Saccharomyces cerevisiae S288C: one gene and its partners. The gene in region 2 interacts genetically with the main gene of each other region. Each region holds a gene or a part of one and is shown on either strand. Other genes may lie near its edges. The genes, in order: MMS4, RMI1, SLX1 and RNH202.

Region 1 (4,807 bases), on a different chromosome or scaffold from region 2:
TGCTACAGCAGTTATTCGGTGGTGGTGGTCCTGACGATCCAACCTTAATGAAAGAATCCATGGCTGTTATTATGAATCCGGAGGTTGACTTAGAAACAAAACTCGTTGCATTTGACAACTTTGAAATGTTGATTGAGAACTTAGATAATGCTAATAATATCGAAAATTTAAAACTGTGGGAGCCATTGTTGGATGTTCTTGTTCAGACGAAGGATGAAGAACTACGTGCTGCTGCTTTATCCATTATTGGAACGGCTGTGCAAAACAACTTGGATTCGCAAAATAATTTCATGAAATACGACAATGGTCTGCGAAGCCTTATCGAAATAGCTAGTGACAAGACAAAGCCACTCGACGTGAGAACAAAAGCTTTTTACGCACTATCTAATCTAATAAGAAACCACAAAGATATCTCAGAAAAGTTTTTCAAATTAAATGGGCTCGACTGCATAGCACCTGTATTAAGTGATAACACCGCCAAACCAAAACTGAAAATGAGAGCCATTGCCTTATTGACCGCATATTTGTCATCTGTTAAGATTGATGAAAATATAATCAGTGTGCTGAGAAAGGATGGAGTAATTGAAAGTACGATTGAGTGCTTGTCTGACGAGAGTAACTTGAACATCATAGATAGAGTTCTGTCTTTTCTCTCTCACCTGATATCTTCCGGAATAAAATTTAATGAACAGGAATTGCACAAATTGAACGAAGGTTACAAACATATCGAGCCTCTAAAGGACAGACTTAATGAAGACGATTATTTAGCCGTAAAGTATGTATTATGATTACGTCCGTAGAAATAAAATGATATTACATTCACCATTTCATATTATCTTTAACCGGAATCTCGAACATTTATTATTAACACTGTTTTATTTTATTACGAATATTTATCAATAGTACTTTCTGTAAAATGGAATTCATTAAAAAGGTAAGGAGGGGGAAATAGAGCTGCAGTGATTTTCAAAACGACTGCCTTAAGGTATGTTCTTATATACAAAGTTTCGTTCGATCATCATTCAATAGTATCATTTGGATCAGTACAAGTAAACAGTTTGTACAATCTTTTTTCTACTGCCTCAGTCATCAAGTATTTACCTTCGTTGTCTGATTGCAGTCTTCCCTTTTCAATATCTTCAAGTAATGATTGAAAACTGGGGTATAGGCTCACGACATTATTCGCCTTCATTTCAGGCATTCTCCCTATCTGATGAAAGGTTTTCTTTAGCGTTTCTGTACTATCCTGAGCGGATTTTACATTCAAATGAGCATATTTCATATACCGAATTGCGGGATCCATGCGCTGTTTTCCAATTAATGACACTAGGTTCGGCAGAGAATTAATAAACTCCATATGTGAATTTACAGTATGTATTTTGACATGCCATTCTCTATCAATGAAGCGCAATCGTTGCTCTAAATCAAATTTTTTTATCCCTAATTTTCCAACTTGGCTTGATTTTTTACTTCTCGGTCTTAAAGCTTCTTCTGTTCCTGACAATCGTTGTTCTACCCTAGCTTTGTACTTTTCATTTTCTAATTGGAAAATAGCTCTTTTGAGTTTATTTATATCGCTTAGTATAAGAATCACATGTTTTCCATTCTTTGAGAAAAATCGTATCTTCCTATATAATTCTTTCTTTTGTGAAGTGTATTGTTCAAAAAATTCTTGCGCATCATAATATAGAATCAAAACGTTTTCTTCAACTATTTTGGGATCACAGGGGTAATAGAAATCGTTACTAAAGTCGTAAATACTGTCACATTTTCGAAGAAATCTTAAAAGCGGCATAGAATCGTTATAGCTTGATTGCACAACTGCTGGTGCCAATTGTTGTTGCAGATCACTGTCTCCTTTTTTAAATAACTGGAGAAGGCTAGGCGAAAACTCTATAATCATTTGAGAGCGTGCTTTTATATTATCTCGATATATCTGGTTAACTCGCTTAAAAGCATTTTTGTTTTCTTTTAACAAGTGTCGTATTTTGTTTTTTGAGTCTTCTCTAGTATAGTATTGCCCATAGGCAATATAATTCTCTAGTTGTGATACCTCTCTGGCAGTATTTTTAGTACATTTGGGATCCTCAGCCGTTAATGTTTTCGAGCGTTTTGCTTCCTGAAAACAATTAGCGTTGCTAAAGATTGGTTGACTACCTGTCCTTACTATGTTAGACCCCTTTGCAGGGGTTGAAAGTACATCAGTAGTAATACTATCTGAGGAATCGAGAAATTTAGAAAGATTTAGTTCTACTGTATCAGGTAGTTTGGTGCTGTTGATTAGTGTTCTTGATAACGCTATGGTTCTCTTCTTTCCTTTCGGAAGGTGTTCTTGCTCGTCTTCACCTTTATTGTATACCCTTTTTGCCATGGATGTCCCATCTTCACCATGATTTTGTTTTCCTGCTGGTTTCAGGCTATTATCTGGTGAAGAATTTTCATTAGCAATCGAATTGTGCTTTTCTTCAGTTGGGTTCTCATGTTTTACTGGAGACAGTGGAAAATCGAACAGTATATCAGCTGCTCCTATCTGTGATTTCGGACTATCACTAATGTCACTATTGGTTTTTCCGATTCCTTGTGTCTTATATTCGCAGTCAACAGCAATAGGCTCTGGATTTTTTAAAGACTGTACTCCCCATTTCTCTGCGATGTCCCTCAAATTGTATTGTGATTTGTTGTGCTTCTTTCCACTCGACTCAAGATCAGCTGACCATTCATCACTTATTAGATCATCCAAAAGTTTTTTCGCGTTTCCTTTTGCATTATTCTCATTTCTGAGAGACGAATCTATGATGGAATTTACTGTTGTAGAAAAGTCATCTAGCTTGCTTATACTGATATCTTGGAAGAACGGCGCAGAAAGTTCGATAGATTTGTTTAGGTCAACATTCTCAACATCATTCGAAACAGATTTTCTTTGCGGTGATGATGGAATCATCTCTGCAGAGCTTACATGTGCCCTTTTGCACTCATCTTGATCCATTGATTCCGAGAGAGCGATAATTTCAACATTTGAGGGTCCATCGATGATCTGAATACTGGCATCGTTTCTTGAATCTTTGTCCTCAACAAAATCAACGATCTGGCTCATTTAACTAGCTGCAATATGTGACTACTATTATTCTATACCATAATCCATACATTGTTCTTTATTTACGTATACAACCATTTTTTTCGTGAAAAGGGTACTTCAACGCGTTGCAAGCCCTTTCCTAAATGATCGAAAATGTTTAAGGTGAATACAAATTTATACGCATTTAGAATAAAGAAGCTGAATAAAATAAAAAAAATTATTGGAAGATTCCAATAAGCCCTGAGTTATCACAAGCAACCAGCAAAGGTGTCTCATCAACTTCACATGTAGATATAGAATTTATAATATCATGATGATATAGAGAATCATCTACTGAATGAGTGCTAGTACGTTTCATTTTTCTCAATAACATTGTGAGATTTGCCGTAACTTGTGTAGGAATAAAAACGTCACTGAATCTTGAAGGACTTATTACTGCTTTAGAAGAAGAAAGCTCATTTAGGCTAAACATAACAATGGAACTTGTTGCTTCATCGGTAAGAAGAATTTTATCATTAGATACTGAGATAGTGCTTAGTGCGTTTAAAGACCTGATTCCACAAAAATTTAATTCTTCTAAGCCTTTCTCAATTGGTAAAAAGTGCTCCATAGATGGCTGTTCATCAGAATTTATGAAAGCATACTGACAATGCCCCTTAACAAAATTCCATATTGTTAGAAATGTTTTTGAACTACCTCCTACAACAATTACAGAATTCTTTCCATAAAACTGACAAACCTCCACATGCGTGATTGGTGCGTGGTCCCCAAAGGACCAACTCCTTATCAGCACGTTGAAACGGATATCCCATATATCAATAATACCTCTAGTCGTCCCCAAAATTAGGACACAACACTCTTCATCGATACAGATGCTTGAAACGGCACCATGCCTTGGAGAATTCTCTATAATTTGTAACCTCTCCAGGGTTCTAATATCAAATATAATAACCCTTGACAAATTCGTCAATGCTACTAGTAGAGATTTTTCCTCATTCACAAATGCTCTCATTCTCACTGCGTATTCATTTTTACCAAAATTCTTCAAGTTAATTTTCCTGATGCATTCGCAATTCAAAAATTTGACTTCACTTTCTTGTTGGTAATGATTAACCTTTAATACAATTATTTGTCCATCTTTACTGGAAACGGCAAACGCGTCAAAGTTAGGAATCATGGTTATCTGAGTTACGGTAGAGGAGCAGTCATAAGTTAAAGAAGAAGAGTAAACCTCGCCCACGATAATCTCTTTCAGGTTCCAAATCTTGATTACACCTTGATCTGAACCTGTTATTAAATAGGGTGTTTCTCCTGGAGAAACAGCAGAAGACGTAATAGAATTGGGTTCGTTTTCCATCAAAGTAGCTATCAACTTGCCCCTCAAATTACCCATGTTTGGACTCCGTACAATCTCTTGAATAGGCCCAAACTCCTTATAATCTCTCAGAGGAGGTAAAATTTTGAAAGTCGATAGGAATTTTTCTATGCTTTCAACGTCGCCTTCATAGCTGTTGCTGACGACTACCTTCCTTTCTGGTTTAACATTTGCATTATCTTTCAAGCCATGATTTGGAGAATGCATGTGATAGGACGTTGGTTCTAACTGAACAAAAACGTTCTTCAAATTAGAAGTAGTAGTGGCAATGGACTTATTTTTGAATATTAGTGATCCATTTATGTCCATGACGGTAGATAGCTGTTTGCTACCGTTAATATTTAGCTTATTGCTAT
Region 2 (3,472 bases):
AACTATCGCGGATATTTGACTTTGGCATCGCAACCTGCCACAAATGCTACATTGAGTAGTGATAAAATATTCGGCTGGGGGCCCGCGAAAGGGAGGTTGTATCAGAAGGCATTCGTAGAAATGTTTATTCATAGACAGCAATGGGAAACAACTTTGAAACCCAAGCTAGACCATTACGGGCGTCGGAAATTCAGTTATTACGCGGGCGATTCATCTGGTTCATTTGAAACGAACCTAGACCCGCACAGCTCTAGCGTTGTAACATGGGGTGTTTTTCCCAACAGTCCGGTCAAACAGACTACAATCATTGAAGAAGAGTCATTCAAGGCATGGAGAGATGAAGCGTTTAGTATCTGGTCCGAGTGGGCCAAGTTATTTCCAAGGAACACCCCAGCCAATATTCTTCTAAGACTAGTGCATAAAGACTACTGTCTTGTCTCAATTGTTCATCACGACTTCAAAGAAACCGACGAGCTATGGGAAATGTTACTCGACCAAGCCTAATATTTCACTGAATATAAATACAAAAATGCGAAAATAATGTAATATTTAACGTATACATAACGGGCAGAACGCCCTTCTAAGAAGAAGAGGCATATGCTAATCATTGGCTTTCCTTTTCTTGGAGCCGCCATTTACAAGTTGTTTGTCACGTTGTAATTTAGATTCCAAATAATCACAAAATTTCTGATCTCTATTTTCATTCCAAACTCTATTAATGCCGCCGAGAAAAATGACTTGTGAGTCCTTCAATATGAAAACGCCCCTATTGAACACAGTTCCCGGCAGTATCACAATTTTAGAACCCAGCATGCAAGAGCTCCAAGATATTGGAGTCGAGTTGATAGCAAAAAAAACGTCGCCCGACTTACTTTGTAGTGTCAATTTAAACACTGCTTTATTCTTGGCGGCACTGCTATTATTGTTGCTATTATTTTCCTTGGCGCAGTTGTTATCCGCCACATTCCCGTCATCTTCCATGTCCACTTGAGTGATGACCTCGTACTTCTTAGCGCCATTTCCTTGCGCGCCTGATCGTAGTCTATCCACTTTCTGTTTTTTCGGATCCAGCTTGGTTTTTATATCATCGATCTGTGTTAGCTTGGATTTGGTGATATTCTCTACCATCAACACCTGGAACAACAGTTCTCTGTCTACAATAACAAGTTTTTTATCTAAGATAAGATTCGAAGCAGTACCAGCCAACCAAGGTTCATTTTGGTAAGCTCTGAAAACAATCTGTTCTCTCGACCCCAAGGTGGCGGAATACGCTGGTGGTGTAATGTCATCTGTGATATCCTGTGATAAGATAGATGAAAAAGACATTCCATCCACTCGGTAGTATGTATGCTCTGCAGTATTTTGGCCTTCTTCTCAGTACTCCCTTTCTGTAAAGATTGTATGATTGGTTTATCTTTTTCCTTTTTCCTTTTCTTTTTTTTTTTTTTTTTTTTTTTCTTTTTTCTTAATAATTAGTTTCTCTTCACGCTACATGCTTTCTTGGCCCGTCCTGAGTGCAGTATCATAATTAATTTAGTAAATAAAGAAATAAACGAAGATGGACCCTCAGAGCAAACAGCCAAGACCGCTTGCATTGCAAAGTAATCTATTATTGTGCGCTGGGCCGCGGATGCCGCGGATAATAAATAGCCGGACCTGTCAAGAGGACGATAGCGGATGCGCTGGGAAGAGCTGTACTCTATGTACACATATGTATTGGTTGGAGCATATGTGCCTACATAATATGTCTAGTTGGCTCAAGCCCGTCAACTAATTAGTCTGAATGTATGGAGGCTTCTGCTGGCTCTAGCGATGTCGTCGTATTTACGTCACTGTAGTTCTCGACTCCCCGGAAAAACCTGTTCGCGTGAGCGGAACAACTTTCCATTGAGGCTTAGTGGAGGTATTTCCGGAGAGGGCATTCATCCCGGATTTCCTATTAGAATGGTGCAGTACGCCGCCCTCGCGCTCTCTACATGCTGTTTTAGCGCGCGTGATATGGACATAGATGCACCACGCGGTGTTTCTTTTCTAGGCATCAAGTGGCTTGCAGCCAATCAAACACGAGGAATGTGGGATGGAAGTACAATCTCCTCACCGCACACCCACGTTTTCCGGGACATTTCTCGGACAGACTCTTTTTTTCTTTTTTTTTTTTTTTTTGCTTCCCACGAAATCGGAACTTATCTATCAGCCGAAGAAAGCGCGTTGGACAGATACTTGAGCAGATTTTGTGGGGAGAGAGAATCTTGGGACAAATGCAAAAAAGAAATGGTCGGAACAAAAGGGCAGTATACAGGGCCGGCAGTACCTTCTGTTCCTACCACAAACCTTAACGATATCGGTGACCCTACTAAAACTGTGCAATAGATATTCCGGACCCACATCATTGCGGTGTTTTCTGAGTCCGCACTCACGGGACGAAGACGAAGAAAGACAAGAGCCTACAAATGACTATAGCGTTTTCTTTTTCCTTTTTATGCTCTTGCTACCTTTTTCGCATGAGAGGACATTCTTAAGGCGTATATTCTTATATATTATACAAAATATATTTAGTAAATTGTTAAATTTACTTATTGACTTAAATCGCCCTAGCGGAAACAAAACTCTTTAAAAGAAAACATCAAATAAGAACACAGACAAGAAATTTTGTGTACAAATGCTGTCAGACTGCTTGCTGAACAATTTCAGAATAACGGCTCAAATAGGGTCGGGTGCGTATGGACTAGTGTTCCATGTGGTGGATATACTGACGAGCCGTGAATATGCAGTGAAAACGGTCTTCAAATCCTCCTCGATGGATGAGTTTTATAATAAGAACGGTTTGAACAACAACTCTCAAGTGGCGCGAACCACTCTTCTGCAAACGCAACTGTATCATTTTTTCAAAAGTTTCCAAAAAAAATTGTTCTTACCTTCCGTTGATCTAGACTCGATATTACAGTTGACTGAGAATGAACTAAATAGGCTACCACACTACAGGGAGATTGCCTTCCAACTAAGAGTGCAGTCTCACGGCAATATCGTGAAGATTCACCAAGTTTTAGAATCTTCTATTGCCACTTTTATAGTGATGGATTATTACGACAGGGACCTTTTCACCTCGATAGTTGACGATAAGCATTTTGTAAATCATGGTATTTTGATTAAGAAAGTTTTTCTGCAGCTTTGCTCCGCATTAGATCACTGTCATCGTCTCGGTATATATCATTGTGATATCAAACCTGAAAATGTCCTACTGGATCGCAATGACAACGCTTATCTTTGCGATTTCGGGCTTTCCACTAAATCTAAATATCTAGCTCCAAATGTGTGCGTTGGCAGTTCATATTATATGGCTCCAGAAAGAATATTGTATTGTTTGAATACCACCACCAACGGCATACACGTCGACGAATGCTGTTCGAGCCTCCCTACGGATACAGGAGATATATGGTCTCTAGGCATCATCCTAATTAATTTAACTTGCATA
Region 3 (3,532 bases), on a different chromosome or scaffold from region 2:
CCCCTGATACCGAGGGACGAGCCGTTGGAGATCTTTATGTTGATGATGGAGAAACTTTTGGCTACCAAAGAGGTGAGTACGTAGAAACTCAGTTCATTTTCGAAAACAATACCTTAAAAAATGTTCGAAGTCATATTCCCGAGAATTTGACAGGCATTCACCACAATACTTTGAGGAATACCAATATTGAAAAAATCATTATCGCAAAGAATAATTTACAACACAACATAACGTTGAAAGACAGTATTAAAGTCAAAAAAAATGGCGAAGAAAGTTCATTGCCGACTAGATCGTCATATGAGAATGATAATAAGATCACCATTCTTAACCTATCGCTTGACATAACTGAAGATTGGGAAGTTATTTTTTGAGGGAAAAAAACGAAGTGATATCTTTACATCTTTTTAGCTCTTTCTTACAAAGTAAACGTAAAAATATCCGTAAATATAACATATAACCATTATCTATAGAAAAAAAAGAACCGAAAATTGTGTCAGGCCCTACTTCCCGTGAGCTAACTTCATTCTTGTCGAAAACTTGACTAGGGTCGTCCAGTCGCAAAACATATCACATTTCGGACATTTCCCACCTCGAGGTATCAAATTTCTTCTCCCTACCATCAACTGTTCATCATCTAGAAAGTACCTGTGAAGACATTTCAAGTGGTTAACACACCCACAGTCTTTATTATTGCAAAGCGCTACAAACGGCTTCAGATTTTGCTCTTCAGACGTGTAGTCAATTTCTTTCTCACAAATTTCACATCGCACTACCCCTGTAGTTAGTTTCTTTTCGAAAGTTTCGAATATGTTTCTTTCATTTTCAATGACTTTAGTGTATACAGCTTCCACCACTTTTAAATTCTCATCACTATGATCCATGAGAACATCCACAGTTTTCTCCTTTGGTTCTTCAAGCGCATTTTCATTTATTTGTATATTAATCGGAAATCTGTCTCTTTCAATAAAAAATTTGTCCTGTTTCCAAACCTCCCAAGCCTTTATATTAAAAACCTCGACTATCAAGTTCATCCTTTGAAAAAATTCATGCTTTAAAAGTAACTTCATTAATGCAACTTTGTGATGTAAAGTTCTTCCACCTGCTTTATGCTTTACAACACGATCTTTTTCGGCAATATAATGCGTTTGGTACCCATGTTGCCATGCATGTTCAAACTGTAAAGCTGCTATCTTACTTGGGAAGCCCCGCACAATCATTATCATTTCCCAGGGCCTTGAACCGTCACGTTTGGTTCGATATGCCCCTCCAACAGCCAATTTCCCATTATGCTGCCTCAAACGTCGTACTGGGTTAGGAGTTGATCCAACGTAAAATGATTGCCTCTTGTTAATCGATTGTAGTAGATAACAACAATAAAAATCAGGAAACTGATGCTGCTGTATTTTCTGCGACATGGTACCTTTCTTATCTTTTTAATATTTTTTGAAAAAAGAGAACATTAATTTGACAATATTTTTTCGATGATAGAAGGGAATAAGTCATCAGTGGTATATATTAAAATTAAAAAGAAAAGCAAACGGCTCATCAAACAAAACCATAGAAGACAAGGCACTCTAATTACATTTCACACTCATGTTGAAATCTGCAAGCCAAAACTTTTTTAGAGCTTATTCTAGTAGAATTGGTCGATATGCTGCTACAGCATCAGGGAAACTGGCACAGTCTCGTTTATCGAATATACCCACTCCAAAAGCATTGAAGAAATTCCTCGATGAGTACATTGTTGGTCAAGAGATTGGTAAGAAGGTTTTAAGCGTGGCAGTTTATAATCACTATTTAAGAATCAATGACAAGCAAAAGAAAGGGGAATTACAAAGGCAGAGAGAATTGATGGAACGAGAGAAAATCGCGGATGATAGGGATGAACCAATTTTCAGTGGAAACAGCGAATCAAAGGCTGGTTGGAGGAATCTTCAAAGACAGTTTAATTTAGCAGGTAGAGAGGTTGACGAAGATTTAGAGTTAAGCAAAAGTAATGTCCTTGTCGTTGGTCCCTCAGGTTCTGGTAAGACTTTGTTGGCAACAACATTGGCGAAAATATTAAACGTTCCAATTGCAATTACAGATTGTACACAATTGACTCAAGCAGGTTACATAGGTGAAGATGTTGAAGTATGCATTGAAAGATTGCTCGTAAATGCTGAATTTGATGTTGCGAGAGCAGAAAAAGGTATTATTGTTCTTGATGAGATTGATAAACTAGCCAAGCCTGCCGCAAGCATTGGCACTAAAGACGTGTCCGGAGAAGGGGTTCAACAGTCATTATTGAAAATCATTGAGGGCCATAAAGTGGAAATTACCGTTAAAAGGCCTGTTAAGCATGATATTGACGGACAAAAAAATCAAACTACAACAAAGAAGGACGAAGTATTTGTTGTAGACACTTCAAATATTCTTTTCATGATTATGGGAGCTTTTGTTGGTTTAGATAAGCATATTGTTAAAAGGATAGAAGATATGAAGAAAATACAGAAGGCAGGAGAGTCTGTTGAATCATCGAATAGTAAAGAAGTTGAAAAAGAAAGAGCGAAGAAGTTCAGATTTAGCAATACGCTTGAGCAGGTTGAATTAGATAACGGAAAAAAAGTGTGTGCTTTAGACTTGACCACCCCCACAGATTTAGTTAGCTTTGGTCTAATTCCTGAATTAATTGGCAGAGTCCCAATTATAACTGCTCTGCAGCCTCTACAAAGAGACGATTTATTTCATATATTAAAAGAACCTAAAAATGCCTTATTGGATCAATATGAATATATTTTTAAGCAATTTGGGGTAAGATTGTGTGTTACACAAAAGGCGCTAAAGAAAGTTGCTCAATTTGCTCTCAAGGAAGGAACTGGCGCCAGAGGGTTGAGAGGGATAATGGAAAGACTTCTGCTAAACGTTAATTATGATTGCCCGGGTTCTAACATAGCATACGTTTTAATCGACGAAGCTACTGTCGACTCGTTACAGGAAACAGAGCACTCTTTGGCTTCCCAAGTGGACGTAAAATACTATTCTGGTGATGAAAAGGACAGTTTAATTCGTGACGTTTCTGAAGAAGATAAAAAATTAGGAGTTATGCTAGAAAAAGAGTTGGGTCATTCTGCTAACATTCATACCCCAACAATTCCCAAGAGAAGCTTAACATAAAAAAAAATGAATGGTATAGAATATATAAATATAGATGTAATAAATGTAGTAAATGAACAAATAATCTTCCTACAAAGTACTATGCCATGGGAAGTAAAAAAAATTAATAAATATTGGCTAAAGTGTTTCAAATTGGTTCTACGATACTGGGAGACTACTCCTTATCATAATGCTTTTTGTCCAGTAGTAAAAATTGAAGTAATTCTTGAACAATTTAAAAAAAAATTGGAACGGCGGCACAATTATTTGGTATATGGCAGCTTTGGCTTTTGCGCCACCACATACAAAGTTCTAAAGCAGCCAGCGTTGTCATCGATTTTTCCTATGTGTTCTTCCACATATCTTTTGAAAAGAGTGGTGGGGTCGGTATCCTTTG
Region 4 (3,736 bases), on a different chromosome or scaffold from region 2:
ATGGACAGTTATATCTGGTTTCTTAAAATGCATCAATCCTGCCATGACGGCAATACACGAAGCGTCAATAAATCCACCATCACAATCCAGGAAATGTACATCAGCTCTCACAGCCCAGCATTTACTGCCAGCAACGATACATAGTCCTTCCACGTCCAATGCGCCCGACCGCCTAACAGATTTTTCAATTATTCTTGAACATAAAACTTCATCTTCCCCCGTGATATTTCCATTTTCAAATTGAGAACCAGCCATAGGAGATATTTCTGTAGATATTACAAATAATCCTTCAAATGGCCTGTCTTCGTATGGTTGTGCTATTTGACAACTAATCCTGCAGTGAACTTTGGTGTTGCCCATTTTTACGCTAACATCACCAAATTCTTTACCAAACGTTATTTCCACGTCACGAAATTGATCAAAGGAGCGGCCGTCCAACCTATAATTCTGTCTCAGTGCTTCTAAGATAAATTTTGACTCGGATGCGGATATCTCAATGTCTTTGGCCATTTGTCTTTTAATCTAATGTATATTCTGAACAATTTTGCAATCACTACGTCCTGTTGATTAATGTATCGAGACTGAAAGTTAGGAAGTTAGAAAAAAAACTTGAAAGTTGGTAAGGTAAATACAATCTAGCAACCGTTTCCTATTCCTTTATATTCAGACATTTGTTAACATCATCGAGGGAAAAGTTGTTAATTTTTTCTTGAATTCGAGAAAGGAAAAAAAAGGTAGCCCATTCGTTGGTAGTGACAATATTGTGTAATTATCTCGCACTGAGGTCATCACCACCGAGTTATAGCATTCAAATTGCTGTTTAATTATGATACTAGCTACTTACGTTTAAAAAATCCATCAATGGCCCCTTTTCCTATGGCTACTTTTGGTTTTTTATTTTGAACTATTTTTTTGGTAACTTTTTTCACTGGCAATGAAACCCTGCCATTCGAATTTAGGCCTACATTCATGGCACTTTTCATCAGTAATTCTCTTTCAGCATTCTGTAATTCGTTCGTAGTCTCGTAGTTTTCGAGTTCTATGAAGCTAGCTTTTATATCCGGATTTAGGCAACCACTATCCATTGTAGGTGAAAAGGTAAGTAAATTATGGTAGGCCGCCCTTGGAATCAGGGAAACTAAAAGATTTGTAGCCATAACTACCTTGTAGCACTGTTTTATTTCCGTTGGGGCATTTTTAAGTGTAGGGATACTTGGAGGAAAGTTTTCTACAATTTTTGATACCTTGCCTAACAAAAATTGTGTTATCATTGCAGATGTGATCTTGTAATAGACGTCACCAGCTTCCTCAATGGTTTCACTAACTTTTGCTAAGCCACTCTTGAGACGACTTAAAGAAATGTTTTCCCAATTCTTGTCATGGTTATCCGTTAAGAAATCATGGTAATCACGCACCGTAAGAAATTTCTCATTGGTTTTGCTGTTGCTTTTTTGGTTTTCACCAGTATCACTTGAATTGGAGTAATCTTGTTCATCTGCTGAAACACTGTTTCTATAGTAAAATCCAATCAAACTAAAAGCAATATCGTATAAAGAACAAAAGTGTATTTTGCTTGAGTTAAAAACATAACCATCGGTGGGATCAGACGTATTTACAATGAAAGTTGATTTGATCGGGTGATTTTCCTTAGTATAGTGATATTTATCATTTGCCAAATCTTCCTCATGTGAATACGAGGGCCCTTTGCCGAATTGAAAAGATCTTATTTCGTAAAGTTTTCCATTAATATTTTCGAAGAGCTCGATACGAGGTTTGGATGTAATATTGGAAGGTGGCGGCAGTGTAAAAGTGTTTATAGTTTTCGAAGTTTCATAATCGTCTGGTAAAATTATTAGTCGTTCTTCCCCCCCAATGTTGGAAACGGTCATGCTTTTTGTTCGAGAGGCCAGAAAAGAAAGTCAACTATTGCGACAGAATAAGATTAAATTTGTACTCGATTTGTTTCTGCTGTTGTACCAGAATCATTAACCAGATCTGACTTTAATTCTCATCGCGCTCGTGCTTTTGACAAACTTGTGAGAATGGAGTCTGTAGTGCCTTAAAAGGAAAAAAACGCGTTGTGGTTATGAATATGAGATTTCATAATCCAACTATGGCATCGACAACATTGAAAAGATAATGAGCTGGAAGTTGCTCCATTTTTTACCTTTTGAAATTTCTTCTTATATGTATATGCTCACTTTACTGACTAGTAAAATGTCGTGAAAATTTTTAGAGTTCCATTTTGGCTCAAGACAATGGCGCTACGAAGAAACGCCATACTTAAATTCCCCTCATGAACTTAGAAATTCACGAAAGAAGCTGAATCTTTACAGAATAAATTTGTAGAAGAATTTTTCTGTTCTTTTATGCTTTATTCGTTGCTGCTGTTGATAATCAGCGATAGCTGAATTTATTGAATAGAGAGGCCGGGAAACTTCGTGCTACTGTAGAACTGAGATATAGAATACATCACAACTGGATGTATTAGACAAGTTTAATTTACTAGGAAAAAAAAGCTCAGAAACTTACAATTCTAATTAATGACTAGAATTTCATATATGAATCCTAATTCAACGTGAAATTGGTGGACTTTTCAACTTGTCACACTCAAGTAGCTCATTGTTTCTTTCTCTGCTCTTAAAAATGACAATGCCACGCAAACATACGTGTGTTAAATAATGATATCAGCGCCAGATGTCACTGAATGTCAATACTTTAGTTATATCTGCAACGGTATGAGAAATAGGCGAATTTTAAGAGAACTGTTCGTATTCTATCGTTGCTAAAGGCTACAGTATCTGGTATACAAGATATATTAGAAGTTTTTCTCGAGAATTTAAGAATCCACAAAACCAAATTTGTTGGAGCGAATCGTAATTAACAGTGTTGATAGTTAGTAGTTAGGTTGTAGTATTGATTAAGAATAAAAGCAGATATTCTTATTCTAAAAGAAAGAGATATAAAATACACTCCGACTGGACATATTAAACCTTGCCGATATAGCAATGATGAGAGTAATTCTTATGGTTAATGTCACGAGATGAATTGTTATATTGCAAGCATCAGATTAATCATTCAGGTAATAGATCATTGAGTTTACTGTACCCAGATTATTATGTAGCTACGTATCATTCTCCAGTCTGAAACATTAAAGACGCATTGCACATCTGATTACTTCATTTGATTACTAATCGACTATTCATGAAGAATAATAAGTCAATATTCTCACGAATAGTAACTTGAGTTACTATAGTAACAATTTAAGTGTCTCTACTGTATATTAATGCAAACCCTACATACTTTTAAGTCCCTGTTGGACAGGGAAATGTTAAACGAGGAACTCAAACAGTATAATAGCTGAGTTAAAGATCCATTAATTGGAAATACTGCTATAGTCGAATGTACGAATAATAGTAGTCGCCAATTTAAATGTATAGTAACTGCTAGACCCACTATTATGTTCATGTTTAATAAGAACAACTGGCCTGTATTTTCTATATTCCTCTTATATAGCATGAGGAGATTTGCTTTTATTCCAAACTAATACTACATCCTGACCACTGATTATTAATAACACCAGTTTTCATATTACTAATACATTATCATACATGATGCAAAAATACTTTATAAACGGCGAAAAACATTTATCAAATTTAACAGAATCTGAAAATGCAGAGACTGATAATTAATAAAATAAAAACGGTGATTTTTTAAATGAAAGAGGGAATAATGA

The links.
Region 1: mutations in RMI1 (region 2) and MMS4 are lethal when combined (synthetic lethality), as found in Saccharomyces cerevisiae (7 studies listed by BioGRID, with this or other methods).
Region 3: mutations in RMI1 (region 2) and SLX1 are lethal when combined (synthetic lethality), as found in Saccharomyces cerevisiae (4 studies listed by BioGRID, with this or other methods).
Region 4: mutations in RMI1 (region 2) and RNH202 together harm fitness more than expected from each alone (negative genetic interaction), as found in Saccharomyces cerevisiae (4 studies listed by BioGRID, with this or other methods).

Annotation. Positions count from the first base shown.
Region 1 is NC_001134.8:439,802-444,608, reverse strand, and holds MMS4 (Mms4p), read right to left. Parts: upstream 3,095-4,807; coding exon 1,019-3,094; downstream 1-1,018. Other genes in the region: Hsp70 nucleotide exchange factor FES1, read left to right, coding at 1-788; ubiquitin-binding serine/threonine protein kinase VPS15, read right to left, coding at 3,294-4,807. UniProt on the Saccharomyces cerevisiae protein: Interacts with MUS81 to form a DNA structure-specific endonuclease with substrate preference for branched DNA structures with a 5'-end at the branch nick.
Region 2 is NC_001148.4:501,371-504,842, reverse strand, and holds RMI1 (Rmi1p), read right to left. Parts: upstream 1,327-3,472; coding exon 601-1,326; downstream 1-600. Other genes in the region: methylenetetrahydrofolate reductase (NAD(P)H) MET12, read left to right, coding at 1-504; putative serine/threonine protein kinase SKS1, read left to right, coding at 2,660-3,472. UniProt on the Saccharomyces cerevisiae protein: Structure-specific DNA-binding protein with a preference for cruciform structures. Also binds single-stranded DNA (ssDNA). Functions together with SGS1 and TOP3 to maintain genome integrity. Essential for proper meiotic cell division.
Region 3 is NC_001134.8:673,196-676,727, reverse strand, and holds SLX1 (endonuclease), read right to left. Parts: upstream 1,416-3,532; coding exon 501-1,415; downstream 1-500. Other genes in the region: glucan 1,3-alpha-glucosidase ROT2, read left to right, coding at 1-371; MCX1 (Mcx1p), read left to right, coding at 1,594-3,156; YBR225W (uncharacterized protein), read right to left, coding at 3,399-3,532. UniProt on the Saccharomyces cerevisiae protein: Catalytic subunit of the SLX1-SLX4 structure-specific endonuclease that resolves DNA secondary structures generated during DNA repair and recombination.
Region 4 is NC_001136.10:1,017,521-1,021,256, reverse strand, and holds RNH202 (Rnh202p), read right to left. Parts: upstream 1,890-3,736; coding exon 837-1,889; downstream 1-836. Other genes in the region: exosome non-catalytic core subunit RRP45, read right to left, coding at 1-510. UniProt on the Saccharomyces cerevisiae protein: Non catalytic subunit of RNase H2, an endonuclease that specifically degrades the RNA of RNA:DNA hybrids. Participates in DNA replication, possibly by mediating the removal of lagging-strand Okazaki fragment RNA primers during DNA replication.